Oryzias latipes: one gene and its partner. The protein of the gene in region 2 purifies or fractionates together with the protein of the main gene of each other region. This does not show direct contact. Links are inferred from orthologs where the notes say so. Each region holds a gene or a part of one and is shown on either strand. Other genes may lie near its edges.

Region 1 (4,299 bases), on a different chromosome or scaffold from region 2:
TCAGAGAAAAGCGTTGGACTATTCTGAAGTGGCCTTCTATGAGCCCAGATCTGAATCCCATTGAACATCAGTGGAAGGAGCTGAAACATGCCATTTGGAGAAGACACCCGTCAAACCTGAGACAACTGGAGCAGTTTGCTCATGAGGAGTGGGCCAGAATACCTGTGGACAGGTGCAGAAGGCTCATTGACAAATACAGAAACTGTTTCATTGCAGTGATTGCCTCAAAAGGTTGTTCAACAAAATATTAAGTTATGGGTACCATCATCTATGTCCAGCCCTATTTCATTAGTTTTCTTTTTTTTAATAATTCTGTTAATCAACAACTCAAGTAATGGCTGATTTTGATTATTTGATTTTTAATACATTTTAATTTGTTACTTTTGAACGTTTCAAGTCATTTCAGTGAGCATTAGGGACTTTCTTTCTCTAACTGAGGGCTACCAACAATTTTGTCCACCACTGTATGTCCTTGATCATGAGAAAAATGCCACATGAACATGTTAAAAACACCAAAAACAGTTTTCACTGGCATGGCTCTTTAAATATTTAATTAAAAATGACAACATTTTATTAACTAAAGGAACTGGATCAAAACCACAAACCTAATCTTTATTCAAGGGTTAATAAAGCCCAGAGTGGCTCCAAAACCTCAGGTTGCAGAGTCCTGAGTTAAGGATTTGTCTTTAGTTAACGCTTTTCATTTCACATGTCCGTCTTCAGTGGTAGATGAATGAATGGACATTTAGTTTTCCATGATATATATTGACACTGTGACACCAAGTGTTGTTCATGACCTGCTTCCTCTGAAAAACAGGTTCTATAAAGGCACAAAGAGAGTACCATTTTGTTTGATGAAAAGCCCAAATCTTTAAAGCATGTAAACAATTTCTAAGCAGTCAAGTAACTTTCTGATCACACACCAGCAAGCAATCAGACCTTAGAAAAGACAAAGGAGGTGATGCTCCCTCCTTTCAACTTTAATAATACTAATAATAATACTAATAATAATAATACTAATAATAATATTTATCATAATTATGGAAGGACTGGTTTAGCTAAATATATTTATTTACAAAGCTCCACCTCTCCAGGTGAAACGAAGGAGAGGTTTCTAAAACAAAAGGTCAAGTTCACTGAAATCCGACCAGACAATCCCGCAACATTCGAGGGACAAAGTGAAATCCTAAATTTTGAGCCAACCTTGAACGCATCTTCACACAGGTGTTTTAAGCTTCTTATGAGCTGCTATAATAGGATGGAAACATTAACGACAGAAGAAACGTATTTATCAAATATCTTTTTAAGGCTTTTACATTTTACTGAAGTATTTTATGCTTTTAAAAAGCACAAGAAATCATGAGTTCGCTGTGCTGTCGTGCACTAAACGCCATTACCCATAACCCCTTGAGGGGTATGCTTGATATGTCGTCTTAATAGGTTTGCGAAGGCACGCCCAAACTTCCCACTGACAACCATCTTGCCCCCGCCCCCCCAAATGCATGTCGGGATACTCTGTAAGGTAAAGCTAACCTGCGCGTCCACAGTCTTTCAGTTTGCTAACATCAACTCAACTGTTGTTAAAAGAGTAAATCGAGCCGGAAAAATGTCTTCTGCACAGTTTGTAAGTGAATTTATTACATTTCTGGCGTGTTTTTTAAGCAAGTACCAATATTTAAACATGCTGTTCTGGACAGAAGAGTTTGTCTTTTGTGATTGAACCAGTTAGTCTGCTTTAATACTAGTTCTTCTTGCTGTAGTTATCACGGACATCACAGTTGATTAAGAATGAATGAACTGCGATTGGGGAGTATTATAGGAAGTTACCCCTAGCAAAAAGTAGTCTAGTCTATGTTTAAGTTAAACAGAGGCAGTATACTTGAAGGCTGCTTTTCAGATACTATAGTAAACTTAAAATGTTTCAATTTGGTCTTTAGATAGAAGTATTCAATTAGCATACTTCCTACACTGGTACACATACGTGGTCTAGTATATTTGCCAAGCCTATACTCAAGTAAAAGTAATAAATACACTTGTAATGTAGTACTTTTTGCTAAGGATAGACTTTTTGTAGTTCTTGTTTATTCATGTTGTAGATTATGCATTGGTACATTCCCTCATTTAGAATGTACGGTGGCTCAGAAGGGTCACAGCACAACACTTTCACAACACAAAATAACACTACAATTCGTCACAACACTAAAAAAAATTAACTCACAACACCAAATAATAACTCACAACACTTTAACTCACTGAATTAAAGTGTTGTGAATTGTTGTTTTGTGTTGTGAGTGATTTTTTTTTTTAATGTTGTGACAAATTATAGTGTGTTATTTGGGTGTGCGAAATCTAAAGTGTTGTGACCCTTCTGGGCCACTGTAAGAATGCATTTACACTTATTACTGTGAAATCAGTGTCTTCCTCCAGCATTTGTGTACATCCAGGTGTTGTTGTGTTAGCATCCAGGTAAAGTGCCAGATCAACACAGGCGGGTCACTGTCAAACACAACCCTGGATTCCTGGAGAAACTGGGCGACACTGCAGGAGGAACAGTCCTCGGTATTGGACTGTTTTTTCTCTCGATCTATGTTCTTTTCACCAACGAGGTAAGGAGCACGGCTCTGTCAGTCATCAGATGAAGCCGCCACGGGTCTGGATCGTCACCTGTCGGGTTTCTCCGTCTGTTTCTTCAGGGTCGGGCTCTGCAGACCGCATCCTCCCTGGATGAAGGTTTCTCTCAGGTGGTGTCTCTGGGGCCTCACCCCGACCTAGAACTGCAGAACAATCAGCGTTTAGTTCACCTGTCTGCAAAGCTCCACACCTTTCAGGTAGAACCCAATGAGCGCTGCTGCTGTGCAGAAGTTACCTTTGTTCTGGATCGTTGATGTTGATTTTGAAAATTCTTAATCCAGTGTCATTGACAAATGATGAAATATCTCTTTATTTCTATGCTTCTGTCCTAAACTACTGTAATAGCATTTGAATAATAACCTTTTTTTAATACAAAGGGGATTTAAGGTAAAAAAAGGTGGGACTTTAATGACAAAATTCAGAGTTTTTACCAATGACTATAGAAGAACTGGGCTGAGTGAGTGTGACATCAGCCAGAAAAAATGACTTTCTTCCTGCTCCAACAAAATGAAGTCAATTCTTTAGAACTACGGATGTGACCACGTTGGAGCCAGAGATGGTCAGTAAGCAGTGATTGGGCCAAGTCGGTCTCAGTCAACGCTTGTCAAGCTGTCCGCTCAGTGATGAGCTTGTTGGAAAGCCACTTCTATCACTGAAAGCGTGCTTAGGAGAATCTGTCAATCAAAATTTGTGAAGGTTCGACATGCGACATCCTGTTGTGCTCCACATACTTTCATCGAAGCATCTGATTGGCCAGTTTAGAACTTGCAGTAAAGAAAAAATATCATGAAAAAAATAAGTTCTCCCTGCTCTCAACAACAGGCGGGGGAAAGGGGGGCGGGGTTGCTCTGCGCCAACCGTCCTGCCTGCAACTGAGAGGCAAATTTCTGATAAACTCCTGCCGCTATGCAGAAACTGTCCTGAAGAATGAAAGTTTTTTTTTTTGATTGTCTGTAAAAACGGCACAATCATAATGAAAAGAGCGCTGGGACTTACAGTGTTAATGTGCATCTCTGTGTGTGCAGGCTCTTCATGACCCCAACTACAAGGTGGTGGTGCAGGCGGTGAAGCTGAAGAGGGAGGTGGAGATGTATCAGTGGGTGGAGTACAGGGAGAGCAGGTCAGTGTTGCAGGACCAAGTTCAAGAATGTAGGGATCTGCCAACATGTCAGAGTTTTTCAAATGAACTTTCAGAGACTATCAGGAGAACGGAGAATCCAAAACAGAGACCACTTACACCTACAGTGAGTGGCTCCCCCCTTATTTCTCCTCTTTGGCTGCGATTGGCTTTGGCCCCGGAAAGATGTGCTTCTCTTTGTTTTGCTCCAGACACTGAGTGGAAGTCGGAGCTGATCAACAGCAGGAATTTTGATCAAGAAATAGGTCACCAAAACCCCAGGTATGCCATGATGAAGACCAGACCTCCACGTGTGTGTGATGTAACTTGACATGTCCCTTTCATGGAAGTGCCATGGCGGTTGAGAGTGTGACAGTGGTGGCTCCTGCAGTCCAGGCTGGACCTTTCACTTTGTCTAAAGGTTGTTGTTGTTTTTGAGCCAACAATCCAACCTGTGGTGCAGACGCTGCACTCAGATGTAATTCTTTCTCCATGGCTCAACCTCAGGTTTGGTGGACCAAATCAACAAGTTCCAGACTCTGAGTCTGCGG
Region 2 (3,974 bases):
GGTGGTTAGAACTAAAACTAAATATTCAAACTTTATTTTACAATTAAGAGATGTGCAACAACAATCTCAAAGTAAAGGTTCTCGTCACTTGAACTGATGAAGTATGTGTTTTTAACTGGTTTTCTAGTTAAGTCAAATAAAAAGTATATTATTGTTCTGTCATGGTCATTTCCCTTAAAGTGCACATAAAGTCATCTGTCATGTCCTTGTACAGTCATTTAGCTCAAGCTCCTCCAAGTGTAAATAGGGCTTTGAACCACTCCCAGTGAAGGACAGCTGTATAATGGAAAAGATTATTACTGCTGTGTTAAACAAAGGAGGATGATACTCGTAACTTTAAAATGCTGGTATCATGTTGACAGTGTTATTTAAAATTCAGTTTTGGTTTTGTCTGCTATAAAACTTGTATTAGAACTTTGTACAGTTTTGTTTAAATACAATTGAACGAAAAATTTGAACTTTCTTAAATAAAAAAGAATGACGTTTTTTTATTCTGTGGTCAAATGTATTGGAAAAGAGACTTATTCAGGCTTCATTTGCTCTATTGGATGAGTAGTAAGCTCTGGTCTCACGTTTTTAAAATCCTTTTTCGTTAATATCTTGATTTCCACAGGATTAGGAAACAACCAAGCAGGACATCAACATTAACCAGGCAGCAAAAGTATAATAAGGGAGTATCTTTGCCAAGCAATAACAATATCTAAAATAGTAGTAATTTCAACATTAGTCTATCAGGAGCATGATCAAAACATTTGCTGCTACAAACCCTATGACCCAAGTTTTTTGGGGTCATCTGTCATTTTGTATATCGCTGGATCCTTGATATTGCTCCCAGGATAAAGCTTGAATGTTACATATTGAAACGTTAATTGCATTGCAGAAGCTTAAGTGTGAGTAAAAAGTAATGTAAAATTAGGAATTAAAGACACGGTAAAAAGAAACAATTCTAAAAAATTATACAATCTCTACATTAAACATGGTGAAAACAGAGATTTAGGCTGTTTTTATGTTCAAAATGTTGTGTAATAGACACTTCCCTTAGAAAATCTGATTATGACCAATTAACAGGGGTGCAAATAAAAAAAGTACCAGAACTTGCCATCTCAATCACATTCCCACTCAGTTGTAATGTCTCGTGTTTCCTGTAGGAGGCAGTGTACGTTTTACTGGCACATGGAACGAATGACCCGCATGCGCAGTTGGGGTTATGTTGACAATGGAGACTGAATAGCTTATCTGCATCCATAATTCAAAGTTAAATCTCTTATTAACCTGTCTCTGCTTTGTTTAGACGCGCAACTATGGGTGAGTCAAGAAGTAACAAGTTTAAATAAGAAATCCTTAAATTATAGTTAAGAATTACTATCGTACTTGCTTAAACATCTGAGATGCAAATCATGTGTAGTAAGTTTAGCAGCTTAAATTTGAAATCGTCACAAGGATAAACAGTAGGGGTTATTGATTTAGTGAGTCTGCCCCTCATTGTATGCCTTTTGCCTTCCATCATCTCTATCTATCCAAATACGGAAAAAAACAACGTCTGTGTTTAACGGCAAGCTCAGCAACAACAGAAAATAATTGCTAATAACGTAGAGATAAGTAATACATTAGACTAGAATTGCTTTGGCTGTTTTCTCCAAATATTTCTAGTAACTTGATGTCGGAATTACTTTGCGGTGCGTTGAGGACTATTTCTTTATGTAGCAATAACTTCCAGCGCTTAAAAAGCCGAACTGCATTGTGGGTGTTTTTTGTTAGTTTATTTTTATTTATTTTTATTTTTATATATTTTTTTCTTTTAAGAAAGTAATACTGACGATGCTGAGCAGAAGGAGGAGAACTTCTCATCTCCAGTCATGGACCGTAACCCTTCACCACCTCCAGAAGAAGGAGATGGACAAGAGGCTGAAGATGCGGACGCCATCGGAGACACCGTTTACAGCAAACACTGGCTTTTCAGCACCTTGACTCGCCTTATTCATGTAAGCCAGCTGTCATTGATAAAATAATCAAATTTTAACCTAATATGCTCTTTAAAAAAGAAGCTAGCTCCTTTAGCTAAATATAAACATTGACATGCATTAAAAACTATAAAAGTTTTAAAGTGGGGGTGAAACTCCAGGCCTCGAGGGCCAGCCTGCTGCTGGATTTCTAGAAATCCTGCAATATCTGCTGCAGATTACCTGGATCAGGTGTTTTTAGCCAATAAGGAGCTTCAATGGCAGGTTGGTTTGGAAAACATGTTGGGACACGGCCCCCCAAGGCCTGGATTCTGAGAACCCCGCTTTAAAGGGAGACTGCAGCTTTAAAACTTAAATAGTGTTGGTGAATGTCACTAAGTTATAATTTTTTCCCAAATTTCACTCCCTGTCTTGCAGCTTTTTCTAAAAATCTGTACAGCTAGCTGTCTCGTGTGAGTTCCTGTGCTCCACAGGGAAATCGATCCTGCCTGAATGTTGACCTTTCCTTGTAGATGGTCAGTGAACTTTCTGAAGAGAACCCCGAAGCTCAAGTGAAGCTCACCGATGATGATGAGGAAGACCTGTGCAAAGTCTGGGATATGGCCATGGATAAGGTACACTTTCCAACTGTGTCACGTTACAAAGTTTACTTGGTTTTATTAATTGAACAGCTTCCATTTAAACCAAGTTAAATATAAATAGCATTCAACCAGAACACTAAAATCCATCAAAATTACTGGTGTTAAACTTAAGTTATCCTGAAAGCAAATAAGAAGGTAAATAAGTGGTTATCTGTAAAACTTTCCACTTTAGCATTATTGAATTTAAACATAATCTATCAAAACTATTACCCACATTTATTTAATTTCAACATTGCTAATTATGTCATGTTTTACATTTCAAATTGGAATTTCTTTCCAAGTTTATGTATTTGTGGTCCTTTTTTGTGTGCTGTGTGTAGGATGTGGCCCGTTTTCTGCAAGAATTTAAAGCTGCTGATATTCTCCTTGGAGTCATATCTAAATCCCGCTGTCCACGTCTCACAGTGAGTAAAGTCTTACTTCAGATCTTGCACTCTATCTCAGAATGTAATCGGCTTTTTCAGTTTGCTTACAAGCTTTATTAATTTTCCCTGTTTTTTTTTTTTTTCATCAGGAAATTTGTGTAGGAATACTTGGAAACATAGCCTGTTTCCCTGACACTTGTGTTACTCTCAGCCAAAAGGAAGACTTGTGGTTTGTAAACACCTAAATTATTATTATTCTTTTCTCATGCTTTGTGCTAAAGTTTCTAATTGTAAAGAAAGCAACTCCCTTTGTGGCCACAGTGCTGTGCTGTTGCTTCTTCTTGGAGATGCAGATCCACCAACCCTCCTGGAAACCAGCAGGTGATATTTACACTTTTTTTTTTTTGCTTGTAAAAATGCAGATCGGTGAAAGACAAACATGCACCATCTTTCACTATGTTTGCAGATTGCTGCTAACCTGTTTATCACACAAAGATGTCTGCTCTCTGTGGATTCAGCGAATACGACAGCAGACGTCAGTGTGTCCCAACCTCTGTTTTATCATGTCCAGCTCTACCAACAGTATGGCACCGATTTCATTCAATAAAAAGCTAAATAAATAATTATAACCAGAAAAAACTTTGGCTGCAAAAAGATTTCTATTCATATAAAATGTATACTGAATGGTTCAAATATGTGAATATTTGATGTTTTTTTTTATCAGCTGATTTGCTTGAAAAAGTGGGGGACCTGGTTGATAAACTGTTTGACCTTGATGAAGAGCTGATGAAGACCTGGATCACAGATAAGCCACAAGACAAGAGGGGGGATGAAAGTGACACCCCGCTGGACTTGACCTTGTGTCTTCTAGAAGCCGTCAAGCAGCTTCGGTAAGAATTAAAGGAAAGATTCTTTATTGATCTGACATATTTGAATGATTATTAATTACTTAGCAATATTGTTGGGGTAGCATTTAAACTACCCTAAAGTGACTCAAGCTTCTCTAT

The links.
Region 1: the proteins of saal1 (region 2) and tmem43 purify together in Homo sapiens (affinity purification with mass spectrometry; 3 studies listed by BioGRID and IntAct, with this or other methods). This does not show direct contact. The link is inferred for Oryzias latipes from reciprocal best matches to the Homo sapiens genes SAAL1 and TMEM43.

The regions. Positions count from the first base shown.
Region 1 is NC_019863.2:1,702,873-1,707,171, reverse strand, and holds the start of tmem43 (transmembrane protein 43), read left to right. Parts: upstream 1-1,491; 5' UTR 1,492-1,498; coding exon 1,499-1,624; intron 1,625-2,459; coding exon 2,460-2,606; intron 2,607-2,693; coding exon 2,694-2,828; intron 2,829-3,656; coding exon 3,657-3,751; intron 3,752-3,825; coding exon 3,826-3,875; intron 3,876-3,960; coding exon 3,961-4,030; intron 4,031-4,098; coding exon 4,099-4,169; intron 4,170-4,255; coding exon 4,256-4,299. UniProt on the Homo sapiens protein: May have an important role in maintaining nuclear envelope structure by organizing protein complexes at the inner nuclear membrane. Required for retaining emerin at the inner nuclear membrane.
Region 2 is NC_019864.2:15,654,564-15,658,537, reverse strand, and holds the start of saal1 (protein SAAL1), read left to right. Parts: upstream 1-1,173; 5' UTR 1,174-1,301; coding exon 1,302-1,305; intron 1,306-1,803; coding exon 1,804-1,982; intron 1,983-2,473; coding exon 2,474-2,575; intron 2,576-2,922; coding exon 2,923-3,006; intron 3,007-3,116; coding exon 3,117-3,196; intron 3,197-3,288; coding exon 3,289-3,348; intron 3,349-3,433; coding exon 3,434-3,549; intron 3,550-3,691; coding exon 3,692-3,857; intron 3,858-3,974. UniProt on the Homo sapiens protein: Plays a role in promoting the proliferation of synovial fibroblasts in response to pro-inflammatory stimuli.